Saccharomyces cerevisiae S288C: one gene and its partner. Each later gene encodes a partner of the first gene's protein in a complex. Each region holds a gene or a part of one and is shown in the gene's direction. Other genes may lie near its edges.

Region 1 (5,840 bases):
TTGATGAGTTCGAGACTAAAGACCTTGCAGAGGGAAAGATAGGCGATTTGATTTCCAGACTGGAGTTCTGTTCAAATGCGATAATTGAATCCTTGCCAAATACATTCCAATCCTTTGTCCCGGTCAAATTCAGTACGGACAAGCTTCTTGAAGAATCGAAAGGTCTTCTCGATGTTTGAAAGTTTGGGGCAGCCAGAATTTCTAAAACGGAGGATCCAATAATTCTATGAAACAATGAAGATTTGAATGAACGAAATTTAATCAGGTTTGACCAAAAATTCAGCCATTTATAGGAAAGGGATAAATGGTTCAAATTGTGAATGGAAACTAGGCAATCCTTTTTGATACAAATTGGAATATCTGGTTGAACAGTGATAGATGCAATTTTACCATTTTCGTCTACTAGCCTGAAACGGGAAGTCGCAATATCCTTGCTTAAGTTCTCGATATATGTCCTTTCTTTAGTTACGACATTACTCTCCGTCTTGGCCGCTTGTGGGCTCAAAAGAGAAATTGATCTCTGCCAAACTCGAGTATTCACCCTTGGGCTTATCATGATGGGTGGATATCCTTTTCTGTGCTTCTGTTTTGTTTATCTGTATCCGTTTATTCGCCAGCCAATAAAATGACTGGGAGCACGGGACCTTTGAAATTTTGCCCTTGTTAGTAAATCGTTATAAAAATACTTATATAGATATTTTATAGAAAATGAAAAATAAAAGAAATAGCCAATATGTAGGTATATCGAACTTAAAGGTCACCTGTCGAAATCATTTCCTTCTTCTCTCTTTTTCTTTTCAATCAGATGTTTTAGAGCGGTCAAGCAACGTAAATACCAACGTGTGCTATCGCATTAGTCGTTTTGTGATTGGCCATGCTGCTGCTTCACGTACGTAGCACTACTTAATGAAAAAATACGATCATTGTTATTGAATGCAGAATCTGCATGGCTGTGGTGTGACTTGGAGAAGGTATCAAACCCTTTTATGATGTTACCAGAATAGTGTGATTTTGACCCATGGGCTCCCCCATGACCTGAATGGTTGTTATTACTATTGTGTGAGAAATACTCGGTCTCTTTATCATATATCTCTTGTTGTAAGTTGTCAAAGGTATCTTCTTGCTCTCTTCTATCTTGGAGGGACTTTTTTAGTTCCGCTTTCAATGCTTCATAACTTTTCAGCTCATCAGTCATTTTCTTCTAGGCGTAGGTTGGTAACAAACGGAAAGATGATGGAAAATGGCTGTTCTCTAAAGATGTTTATCTTACGTATATTCTTTGCTTTCGTTGTGGCTTTACACACCTTTAATCATTAATTTAATGGCATAGTCGGCAAGTTGTTGAAGGACCTGGGTTAATCGCCTACATGTGAGGTTTTTTTAAAAATATCAATTACATTTAAAAAAGGAAAGCAGTAGTACCAAAAATCGGGCAAAAAAAATTTACCTAAATAAAGGAATGCATAAATGAAGCCGTTTAATCTTTGTATTTAATGAGAATATTACATATGAAGGTCTCTTGAGAAAGCATCAATAGTGGACATTAGCTACCTTTTAAATAAATGAACGGGTATGTCACCCATGGGTTCAAACTCTTCATCATCCTCGTCTTCACTGCGTACTTCATCGTATTCGTAACCCAAATTTTCTTTTATGTAATAGTGATCTTTCTTACTTTTCCTCTTTTCCAAAAGGTCATCGAATTCGTCCTCTTCCATATTCATTTGATTGAATTTGTTAAGTATTCTTTGTAAGAATGGTGTGTTCTCCCCAGCAGTTGCCGTGGTATTAGCATTCTTCATAGTATTCCTTGGGGGTAGCAAGGGAGGACCCGATGTTGGAGTTGATTCTGAACTACGGCTTGGAGCAATATTTTGCATACGTTGTGACCGATTAGGCGGAGGGTTCGGTTTACGATTGGGTAGAGTGTTATTTATGTTGCTATTAACATTATTATTGGGCTTACTAAAAAAATCGTTTATACTCTTTTTTCCCTTGAGCATATTTGGTGAATTATTTACGTCCACAAATGTCTGTTGAATTCTTTTGGTAAAAGTAGAGAGGTATTCACTTGGGTTCTGGTTACCTAATTTCTGTTGTCCATTTCGGGGCAGTGTATCTTTGAACTGTAACTCTAATTGTTTTAATTCTTTTTGGGCGACCTCTAATTTGAAACTAAGTTCATTGATTTCTCTGTGTTTTGCAGCTAATTTATATATTAAATCTTGGTCTGTTGAAATCGGACTTGCGTGGTCGCTCACGGGTGACTGATTTGTCGTAGATCTTTGCGGACTTGATATAGGTATAGCAAGTCTTTTGGGCTTTAAAGGTGTCGTAACCCTTGGTGATTTTGATTCAGGCTGCACTTCATGTTGTTTTTGATGCGGCTGTTGCTGCTGTCCTTGGGAGTGTTTATCGACAATCGACAGCTTATGTAATTCAATTGGTTGACTAATTACACGCTGGTCTTCTGACATTACTTTAGGGCGTATGTATGGATGTATTTTGTATTGCTTTTGGCTAGTTAGTAGTATTCCTCAATCGTATTGTTTTTGATTTTGAAAAAGCTAACGATAAAGGTCAGGAAAAAAAAAGAAAATTGTATGTAAAGGAATGTCTGGAGAGAGTTACACAGGAACAGAAAGGTCCAGCAACGGTTTCTACAACCAATCATGGATGTTGATATAGGATGTTATTTTGAAGAGAAACGCTATGACGACAAACTGTTAGACTTCATCAGATATGACGTTAAAACACCTAAAAAGACTAAATATATACTACAAAGGCCTACGGCGACAGATGAAGAGAGTGTACGATTACAAAGGTTTTACCAATTAGGAGTAGATCTAAAATTGAAGTATTCCAAGCGGAGGTCATTGAAGAAGCAAGGGCGGATCAAGAATGCTACTGAGGAATTGCTGCGATTAGCCAATGAACAGTTGAAACTTTTCAACAGAATAGTAGAAAGAGAAACCAATTGGATAATTTATCCGCTGTGGGTAATGGCTAAACAATTAATTCGTCTGGCAAACGAATCTAGTGAACTTAATAAAGACTCAATTGAGGAATGTGGACGCACTATCCATAGAAGCTTTACTATATGCCTCAATGATAGGAACCCAAGATTGAATGAAAATAAAAAAATCGGGTGTTATATGTTTGCTAATCTAGAGTTTTCCATCTACCATCGGTTAAGTAATAAAGATATGATTAAAAATTTAGTGAAAGTCCTCGAGAGCAGAGTGAACGCCCGGGATATACCACCGTTGAATAAAAGCCTGGCAATGGAACATAAGTCTCAAGTGGTGTTGTATAATTATTATCTAGGTCAATACTACGGATGTCTGGAAAACGATCACGAACGCGGGTTCTTCCATTTAAATGAAGCATTATTGCAATGTCCAATGCTATATGTGGAATCTACCGGCAAGTTCGTCTTACAGGGCCAAATGGAAAAGATAATGATACTGCTGGTTCCGCTTGCTCTTTTAACTAAAAGGTTGTACCCTCACTGGGATCATCCAGTAATCGCCGGAGTAATTACTAGGAGTAAGCGCTTAAGTCAAGTTTATCCGACATTAGTGCGTAGCGTAATCTCAGGGAACCTGTCACTGTACGAGGCTACCGCAGCAAGCCATGAAAGATTTTTCCTTTCGCAAGGATTGCATGTCGTCATCACATTACTTCGAGAGGTGGTCTTCACTCGGTTGGTACAACGATGTTGGCAATGGGGGAATGATCGGAAAAGTATCATGCCCTTGAAAATTCTTCTGGCAACAAAACAACACGATAGTTCTGCCAATGAGGACGAAGAGGAGCAGTTGGATGCCCTAGAATGCCGTCTAGCAAGTGCTATAGCAAGTGGGCTTTTGCGTGCTTATCTTTCTCACTCCAACCGCTGCATCGTTTTCAGTAAGAAGGAGCCCTTTCCCCATAGCAAATGATAGAAAAATAGTCAATAATTGAACGAAGAAAAAAAAAAGAAAGTTTGTTCATAAAAGAATATCATATTATATATATATATAGGGTCGTATATATATCGTGCGTCTTCTTCCTTCTCTAAGGGTAAAATTCCTTGTATTTGTTATAATAGTAGTAACTGCCGAGCCCACCCAAAGCTGTCAAAACGACAGGGACAGGTTTAGTGAACCTGGAAGGCATGCCTCTTATGACACCAGCACCAAGTAGTAAGGTCGATGCACCCAATGCCATTTCGAGCCCACCATCTCTATTCATATGTAGCAAGTAACCGGCAATCCCATATACACTACCGAATACTAAGCCAGATACTAGAGATGGAATGGAGCCCTTACGGTAGTATCCCATAAGGCCACCGGCTGTAGTCAAAAGACTCAATGTATATGCTGGATGTTCCATAGTGTGATCTGATGTTCCTTTCTCTCAAACTTCGTTTCTGTCTTGTCTCCCGCTGTTACCTAATAACTTCATGTGATCTGCTCCCCCTTCTCGTTAAATACCACCTTTTCATCAACCCCGTAGGGCGCGACACGTCTAAAATATTAACCTCTGAATACTTATTGGGTCAAAATGAATGTTGATAACTTTCCTTTACAAAAAAAAAACTAATAGAGTATATGCATTTCGGTAGTGAAATATTCGTTAATGCTAATATGCTCAGTAGTGATCCTAGATTACCAGTTTTACTGCAGCCATCGTACAATTTTGGAACGAGTATAAAGAGAGAAATTAAAAACGACAAGAAATATTCGTACTAGCTTCTCTTCCGGCTTGATGACAGTCTTAATATCATCTGCAACTCTTGAAATCTTGCTTTATAGTCAAAATTTACGTACGCTTTTCACTATATAATATGATTTGTCAATGTGATGAGTGAATGTCTCCCTGTTACCCGGTTTTCATGTTGATTTTTGTTTCAGGCTCTAAATGTTTGATGCAATATTTAACAAGGAGAACAGAAATGTTTTGTGACAGCACCTGTCAATTTTAGGATAGTAGCAATCGCAAACGTTCTCAATAATTCTAAGAATGACATCAGTTCAAAACTCTCCACGCTTACAACAACCTCAGGAACAGCAACAGCAACAGCAACAGCTTTCCTTAAAGATAAAACAATTGAAGTTAAAAAGAATCAACGAACTTAACAATAAACTGAGGAAAGAACTCAGCCGTGAAAGAATTACTGCTTCAAATGCATGTCTTACAATAATAAACTATACCTCGAATACAAAAGATTATACATTACCAGAACTATGGGGCTACCCCGTAGCAGGATCAAATCATTTTATAGAGGGTTTGAAAAATGCTCAAAAAAATAGCCAAATGTCAAACTCAAATAGTGTTTGTTGTACGCTTATGTAATGATAGTAATAGAATCCAAAAAAAAAAAAAATATACATGCTTTTTCATATCCTCTCTCACCCTATCTTTTTTTTTCTTCTAATTTTGGCTCCGTTCATATCTTATTCAAAATTAATTCAGCGGTAATCTTATCTTTATTGTTAGACTTCGCAGAAATTTCCTTTAGCTTCGATGCAGATAGTTTGATCAAGTCATTTTGTTTATTACGTCCCAGTTCGCGAGAAATGATGTTAACCAATGCCCACCCTTTTAGGTATAGTTCGCTAAGTTCAACGCTCCTCAAAGCATTCTTTAATGCCTTTTCCAAGAGCTCGGTCTTGGTTTGTTTCTTGCTACGTAGAGCCTCATAATACAGAGTCTCACTTAGCCTACCAAAACAAGCGTAATTGAATGGTGTAATACATAGGACCTGTTCCAAACAATAACAGGCTTTTTCAAATTGGCCCATTTCGAAATAAATCTCGCTGGCATACCACCACAATTCTGCATCAAGCGGGAAT
Region 2 (6,886 bases), on another chromosome or scaffold:
AGAATGTTATCTAGCTCCTTTAAAATTGCATTGGTAGTAAGCATTGTAGATAATCTACCAATGCCCATTTTAGTTAAGCCGGATGATGCGAGTTCCAATTTTTTATGCCAATATAGCATATCGGTATCACTTTCCAGCTTAGAGGAAGATAGATCCTGAAGATTATCATCCTTCCAATACCGTGTAGCCAAAACATCTAAAACTTTCTGATCCAATTCTGCTCTCAAGATTGATTTCAGTTCATTTCTATGAAATTTTTCCTGAAACTCTTTAATACCCAACTTTAGTACATCTATATTATTCAAAAGGTATGATTTAGGAGTTAGATGCCTGTCGTTAAACTCTACTTTAAACAAATAAGAAGTATCATCCAACTCTTGTTGAATAAGTGTTGAAGTCGGCTCCAGCGCATTTGACATGGAAATCTCCAAGATTTTGATCAACTTTTCTCTCAATTTCTTAGTGGAAACTTGGCAATTGGTAAAATACTTTTTGTTTTCTTTGAAATAAGCTTTTTCAAATTGATGAGACACAATTTGTTTTAAACCATTGGTATTTTCTTCTCCGCTACTTTGGCCGTGCTGGCCTTTTGAAAATATCCCACTTAATGACGAAGAAGGTGCTTCACCGAAAAGACCTAGGTGTTTTCTGTTTATACTACTTGGTGTCTTAGTAATCACTCCTACATAGCCCATACTGAGAGGATATTTTTTATTATTCAAGATGCTTCTTGCTTTTTCAGGATCCACCAAATCCAGTTTGGTAATGACACCTATCGTTCTCAAGCCTTTAGGATCTGCCGCTTTAGAAGCTTTCAAAGCAGAACTATTAGCCAGGTCAACATCCGCAGCAGAAATTGCTAAAATAATATTAGGTGCAGTCAAATATTTTTCGCAGAGGTCACGGATTTTTGTTTTCAGTTCTATTGGCTGGTCTGCCGCTTCCACTTGTATATAGCCAGGTAGATCCACCAATGATAAATCTGGAACGCGGGACGATTTGATTGTCAATTGAATAGGCTCCTCTGAAACAGCCTCTGAAGTCGGAACGGCCATGTTCAGTTCCATTAGCATTCTTTTCACCTCTTTAAAGTCCTTGATATTGTATAGACGCATGCTTGGAAAATCAGCTGTTACATTATTCGAGTTAGGTGTATTGACCAAAGTCAATTCAATGGGTCTTCTTGTGACCATGTTGGAACCTTTTGGTAAGAATTCCCTCCCAACAATGGATTCTAGTACTGAGGATTTACCAGACGATTGTGAACCTATCACGACAATAGATGGTAAAGTTAAATGTGCAGAAGAAGAGTCCACTTTATTCAAAATAGTTCTAATTTCAATCATTTGTTTGGTTAAGTTTAACATTTCGTCTTGCGTTGTATCTACAGAATCGTTTTCATCATCCTCGTCATCATCATCTTCGTCGTCATCATCTTTAGGATCTCCTTGCCTCTTACTTTCGTCATCGTCGAGTGATGTAGCGGCTATTAGAGTAGCAGTTGGCACCGTTCCATCGTTTCCATGACCACCGTCTTGTGACTTATCACCGGAAAACATTTTATTAAACTTTTCCTTCATCGATTCACCTAAATCCTTGATTCGATCTAGTTTGTCCTTAGTAAAAGAGCTAGCTTCTTCCATCTTATAAGCTATATAACTCCCTGCAGCAGCCATCCCGCCACCCACATATATGGGTAACCTAATAATTTTAGATATAATTTTAGGAAAATGTGATATCGATCTCCTGGTGATAACAAAACTCAAAGCATTGGCATGTGCTGATCTGTGAACATTGCTCATGCGGCTGTGTAAGTGCACCAACGGACTTTTGATGTAAGGAGAGCTATATAGTATCGCCGGATGCGTAGCAAGCTGTCTTCTCAGAATTAAAAGCCGTACTGGGCTCGCATTCATCCTTACTAATGTGTTATAGTTCGCCACTCTTGGGATGGCCCTTAATGAAGTAGAATTACTCATGCTTTCAGAGTATTATGGTGAATATGCGAGGCTATATTATAAGTACGAAAAGAATGGAAAAGCCTAAGAATAAAATGATATCTGTACTACCCAAAAAGAGGCTTTTTCGTGTTCTCCCGTTAACTGGTGTGAACCTTCCTAGCTGATTATGTCTTGCCTTTCAATAGAACGCTACTATTTTGTTTTTAACGGTACAAGGAAATATTAACAACTTGCATATTGATCATCGAATACGAAGCGCTGAATGAGGGTTAATTTCATAGTAAATCTTTCATGGACAGAAATATTTGAAATATATTTCCTCAAAGAGTACACTAGATCCATTCATATTTTAGGCTTCCTATGGAAACCGTTTTTTCAAGGATAAACCCCGCCATATGTTCTTTGCGAAGTCTTTTGCAGTTAAAACTAATTACAACTCTGTTATTTACTGACACCTGCGTTAAAATTTTATCACAATATGTCATCCGCTGAGAGAGATGTACTATTTATAATTACTTAAGAGCGACTACTTCATTTACCATTAGCGAGCAGAAGAACAGCTTACTTGTCGATGTTCTTCTCTGGCTAAATGAAATGTCAATTATTGAGATTGAGATGGGTATGTATGATCGGATTTTGATATCAGCCGATGAGACGAAGATTCAATAGCTTCAACCGTCCCTGCGGGGGGTACTTACCTTTTGTAACCAGTACCCTGTGCAAATTCTCGGCGTGTACTACCTCTTTTGGGACCACAACCCTTTGTACGCACTTTCGTCAGATGCAAATTTTTACACGCGTTGAAAAATGTTTCAGGAAGAGATACTGCGTAAAAAAAAGACACATGTGTTACGCAGGAAAAAGTTTGTGAGGCTTTTTGCCTTAACAGATTGACTTGTAGCCCTGTTAGGTTTACCCAACAGTTGTTTTTCTGTGTGTCGAAAATTTTTTCAGATTGTTTTCAACTGACACTTGCCTGTTTCATATTAGTTGTAACTTAAACTTTCAAACATAAAACTTTTTTGGAAGTCCATCCTTCACATGACTTGAATCCCTTCAATATCGAAACAGTATCCTCAAAATCTCTTATCACTTTTCTAATTGTTTTCTTCCCCTTTTTGTAGTAACTCGCTGTAAAGCACATTTTATTCATAATCTCCTTTGTGCCAGAACTCAAGGTCAATAGGCCAGAATTATTGGAAGGAAAGAGGGAAGAAAATACGATATTGCTAGTTCATTAAGTCAAGGAAGAAAATACTCAAAAAACTGTACAGCTCAATCAGGTACACATTACGATGGCAGCACATCAGATGGACTCGATAACGTATTCTAATAATGTCACCCAACAGTATATACAACCACAAAGTCTACAGGATATCTCTGCAGTGGAGGATGAAATTCAAAATAAAATAGAGGCCGCCAGACAAGAGAGTAAACAGCTTCATGCTCAAATAAATAAAGCAAAACACAAGATACAAGATGCAAGCTTATTCCAGATGGCCAACAAAGTTACTTCGTTGACCAAAAATAAGATCAACTTAAAGCCAAATATCGTGTTGAAAGGCCATAATAATAAAATCTCAGATTTTCGGTGGAGTCGAGATTCAAAACGTATTTTGAGTGCAAGTCAAGATGGCTTTATGCTTATATGGGACAGTGCTTCAGGTTTAAAACAGAACGCTATTCCATTAGATTCTCAATGGGTTCTTTCCTGCGCTATTTCGCCATCGAGTACTTTGGTAGCAAGCGCAGGATTAAACAATAACTGTACCATTTATAGAGTTTCGAAAGAAAACAGAGTAGCGCAAAACGTTGCGTCAATTTTCAAAGGACATACTTGCTATATTTCTGACATTGAATTTACAGATAACGCACATATATTGACAGCAAGTGGGGATATGACATGTGCCTTGTGGGATATACCGAAAGCAAAGAGGGTGAGAGAATATTCTGACCATTTAGGTGATGTTTTGGCATTAGCTATTCCTGAAGAGCCAAACTCAGAAAATTCTTCGAACACATTCGCTAGCTGTGGATCAGACGGGTATACTTACATATGGGATAGCAGATCTCCGTCCGCTGTACAAAGCTTTTACGTTAACGATAGTGATATTAATGCACTTCGTTTTTTCAAAGACGGGATGTCGATTGTTGCAGGAAGTGACAATGGTGCGATAAATATGTATGATTTAAGGTCGGACTGTTCTATTGCTACTTTTTCTCTTTTTCGAGGTTATGAAGAACGTACCCCTACCCCTACTTATATGGCAGCTAACATGGAGTACAATACCGCGCAATCGCCACAAACTTTAAAATCAACAAGCTCAAGCTATCTAGACAACCAAGGCGTTGTTTCTTTAGATTTTAGTGCATCTGGAAGATTGATGTACTCATGCTATACAGACATTGGTTGTGTTGTGTGGGATGTATTAAAAGGAGAGATTGTTGGAAAATTAGAAGGTCATGGTGGCAGAGTCACTGGTGTGCGCTCGAGTCCAGATGGGTTAGCTGTATGTACAGGTTCATGGGACTCAACCATGAAAATATGGTCTCCAGGTTATCAATAGCTTCGAATTGGAAATACTGTGAGCAGTAATTATCAATGGATGCTATTATATAAATATACATACCTACACCCATCCCATATTTACATAGAATAACAACAGTAACATTAGTTCTGTGGAAGCGCAAAAACGTCCTTTAATAAAGTAAGTCAAAACATTCAACAATGAAAATTCAAAGCATTGTCATTTGCTTCCTTTTTCTCTTTGGATAAACGAAACAAAAACGAACAAAAGTGTCATGCACTCAAAAATTCTTTTCAATCGTTTTGGAAACAGTATTATTCACTGACTTATTTGACCAACTTGCTAGAATCATCTATGTTTTCAGGCATTGTTTAATTTCATGATGGCTGTCCCTACTTTAGCTTGTTATGAGCCTTCACTGGCTCGTCCTTATGTATTGCGTCTGACCCAAAATTTGTCCTTTCTTGTTTAGTGGAATTTTTGTTCGGTAATTTCAAAAATGCCTGAATTTTCATTAACAAATCATCTGGTAGTTGTGTTATAAACATAAAAAACTGCTCCCTTCTGGGATGATTTTCAATTGCTCTCTGTACTGCAGGATCATTCAATATCATCTGAACCACGTCCGTCATCATATCCTCATCTATAAGCGCAAGGCTTTTAATCCAGGGCAAATCGGCTATACGAAGAGACATTTCTTCCTCCGGAGACACTACTTTCCACGGGAGATCAAAATATTTAGATAGTTCACTATTGAGATGTGAGAATTCATGAGGCACATCAACGGTATAGTCAACTGCATATGCATCATCTTCAAACGTTAAGTCATGTTCAATGCTAAACTTTCCAGCGTTACCTATAAAAAAGCATTCTATTTTTAAGTTAAACTCTCCCCAACCGGTTTCCTTGATAAAAAATGGCAGCGAGTTCAGTCGTCTTTTGGGCTGTTTGAAGCTAGAGTGCAAATGGTAGATGCATTTAGAGAGGATGGTAGGCTCCACTTCCTTTCCTGTTGCATCTAACATGAGGAGTTCCATCTGCCACCGACGTAAGGGAAGTTCATTTCCCCGGATGTTTTGTTCCGGTATTATAACCTGTTGTGTTTTTACTCTGAAAGTGACTTCTATTGAATGATCCATAAAAGAGCGTCTATTATATGGCACCAAAAAAAAAAAAAAGGGCTTTTGGAGTCAAGAGTAAAAACAATTTAGTCTGTAGAAAAACTTGAGTTGCTGCACTTCCTCTTCACCCGAACATGGCTGTTCTAGTTTGTTGTCGTGCAACTCTCTAATGGTGATGACTTATTGATGTGGCTTTGATTTTTTCTTGCCCGTGTAACGCGACCGCGCCAGCTGTAAACGTCACTAAATAATACCATTAATTGGTCATTTGCTTATATGTTATATAAATGCTTTCTCTATCAAAACTTTGATTATATGACTGCCGAACTTTAAGGGTGAAGTAACAAGTACAGACCAAATAGAAAAGATAAGATTCCCATCGACGGCATTAAGGAGGATGATGAATTTTCGTATCCCCCAATAGTTGTAATATTTCCCGGGGTGATTGTTGGGAAAATCTCAACGCTGGTAACACCCGTGGATAAAGCTAAACTTGTCGTACTAGATAAATAAGAAATGGTGCTCGTTAATGTTGCAGTACTTGTCGGCATTTCACTATTATTGATGATGCTCATATTAGTTACTAAAATATCTTCATACGCGTAAATTTTCGGTTTCGGAATCTCTTCAAATACCTCGTCTGCCCCGACTTTCTTCTGTATGCTGTCTTCCATAATTTCATGTAGAATACTTTCAATTTGAGAAAACTTTTTGTGCTCCACTATTGTTAGAGGATCTTCCAACAGAAAATCTATAACAGATTTGGAAGCAAGGACCGTATCGGTATGTTCTTGAGAATCAACAGCTCGCGGCTCCTCCGGTAAATCTGCTAATACTAAGTATGGATTAAACTCCATTTGATTTAGCAGAGCTGGTGGTAATGAGTTTTTATCCAAATGGAAAACTAAAGGACCAGGTTCATTTTGTCCTGTTTCATCTTCTTCATACTCATCTGATGTAAAAGTAATTGAGTATTTGGTAGCAAACACTTGTGCCATAAAAAAGGCGAAGAAAAGGGAGGATAGATATAATCCTAACATTTCAATAAGGATCAAAAAAGAGAATGGGATACAAAACTTTACTTTCCTTCCTTTCGTGCTAGTTACTGGCTTGGTGTTGTTCTTTAGTTATGTGTAGCAATGTTAGCTGCTGGTTTTTTGTCTTGGATAACTACAAATACTTTCAGGAAAAGAATAATTTATACATTATACAAAAGCGGCCTCTTTTATAAACAAAGGGCAAATGACAGTTAGCAAGACATATCATGGTTGCCATG

Evidence for each region.
Region 2: the proteins of STE18 (region 1) and STE4 are in contact, whole or in part, in a cryo-EM structure (PDB 7AD3), measured with the Saccharomyces cerevisiae proteins. Residues at the interface, in NP_012619.1 of Saccharomyces cerevisiae: Arg50 (codon at 5,155), Ile51 (codon at 5,158), Thr52 (codon at 5,161), Ala53 (codon at 5,164), Ser54 (codon at 5,167), Asn55 (codon at 5,170), Ala56 (codon at 5,173), Cys57 (codon at 5,176), Leu58 (codon at 5,179), Thr59 (codon at 5,182), Ile60 (codon at 5,185), Ile61 (codon at 5,188), Tyr63 (codon at 5,194), Thr64 (codon at 5,197), Ser65 (codon at 5,200), Thr67 (codon at 5,206), Lys68 (codon at 5,209), Asp69 (codon at 5,212), Tyr70 (codon at 5,215), Thr71 (codon at 5,218), Leu72 (codon at 5,221); in NP_014855.3 of Saccharomyces cerevisiae: Ile60 (codon at 3,434), Ala63 (codon at 3,443), Ser64 (codon at 3,446), Leu65 (codon at 3,449), Met68 (codon at 3,458), Ala69 (codon at 3,461), Leu75 (codon at 3,479), Lys79 (codon at 3,491), Asn81 (codon at 3,497), Phe279 (codon at 4,091), Asp281 (codon at 4,097), Ser284 (codon at 4,106), Met296 (codon at 4,142), Asp298 (codon at 4,148), Arg300 (codon at 4,154), Ser301 (codon at 4,157), Ile305 (codon at 4,169), Ser360 (codon at 4,334), Gly361 (codon at 4,337), Arg362 (codon at 4,340), Leu379 (codon at 4,391), Gly421 (codon at 4,517), Tyr422 (codon at 4,520).

The regions. Positions count from the first base shown.
Region 1 is NC_001142.9:581,061-586,900, forward strand, and holds STE18 (Ste18p), read left to right. Parts: upstream 1-5,007; coding exon 5,008-5,340; downstream 5,341-5,840. Other genes in the region: YJR079W (uncharacterized protein), read left to right, coding at 1-179; AIM24 (Aim24p), read right to left, coding at 1-556; EAF6 (Eaf6p), read right to left, coding at 854-1,195; ACF4 (Acf4p), read right to left, coding at 1,548-2,477; YJR084W (uncharacterized protein), read left to right, coding at 2,673-3,944; TMH11 (Tmh11p), read right to left, coding at 4,060-4,377; EMC2 (Emc2p), read right to left, coding at 5,435-5,840. UniProt on the Saccharomyces cerevisiae protein: Implicated in the pheromone A- and alpha-factor response pathway. The beta and gamma chains of the putative yeast mating response pathway G protein play a positive role in initiation of the mating response.
Region 2 is NC_001147.6:739,654-746,539, forward strand, and holds STE4 (G protein subunit beta), read left to right. Parts: upstream 1-3,256; coding exon 3,257-4,528; downstream 4,529-6,886. Other genes in the region: dynamin-related GTPase MGM1, read right to left, coding at 1-1,916; SAS5 (Sas5p), read right to left, coding at 4,882-5,628; SPR2 (Spr2p), read right to left, coding at 5,940-6,650. UniProt on the Saccharomyces cerevisiae protein: Implicated in the a- and alpha-factor response pathway. The beta and gamma chains of the putative yeast mating response pathway G protein play a positive role in initiation of the mating response.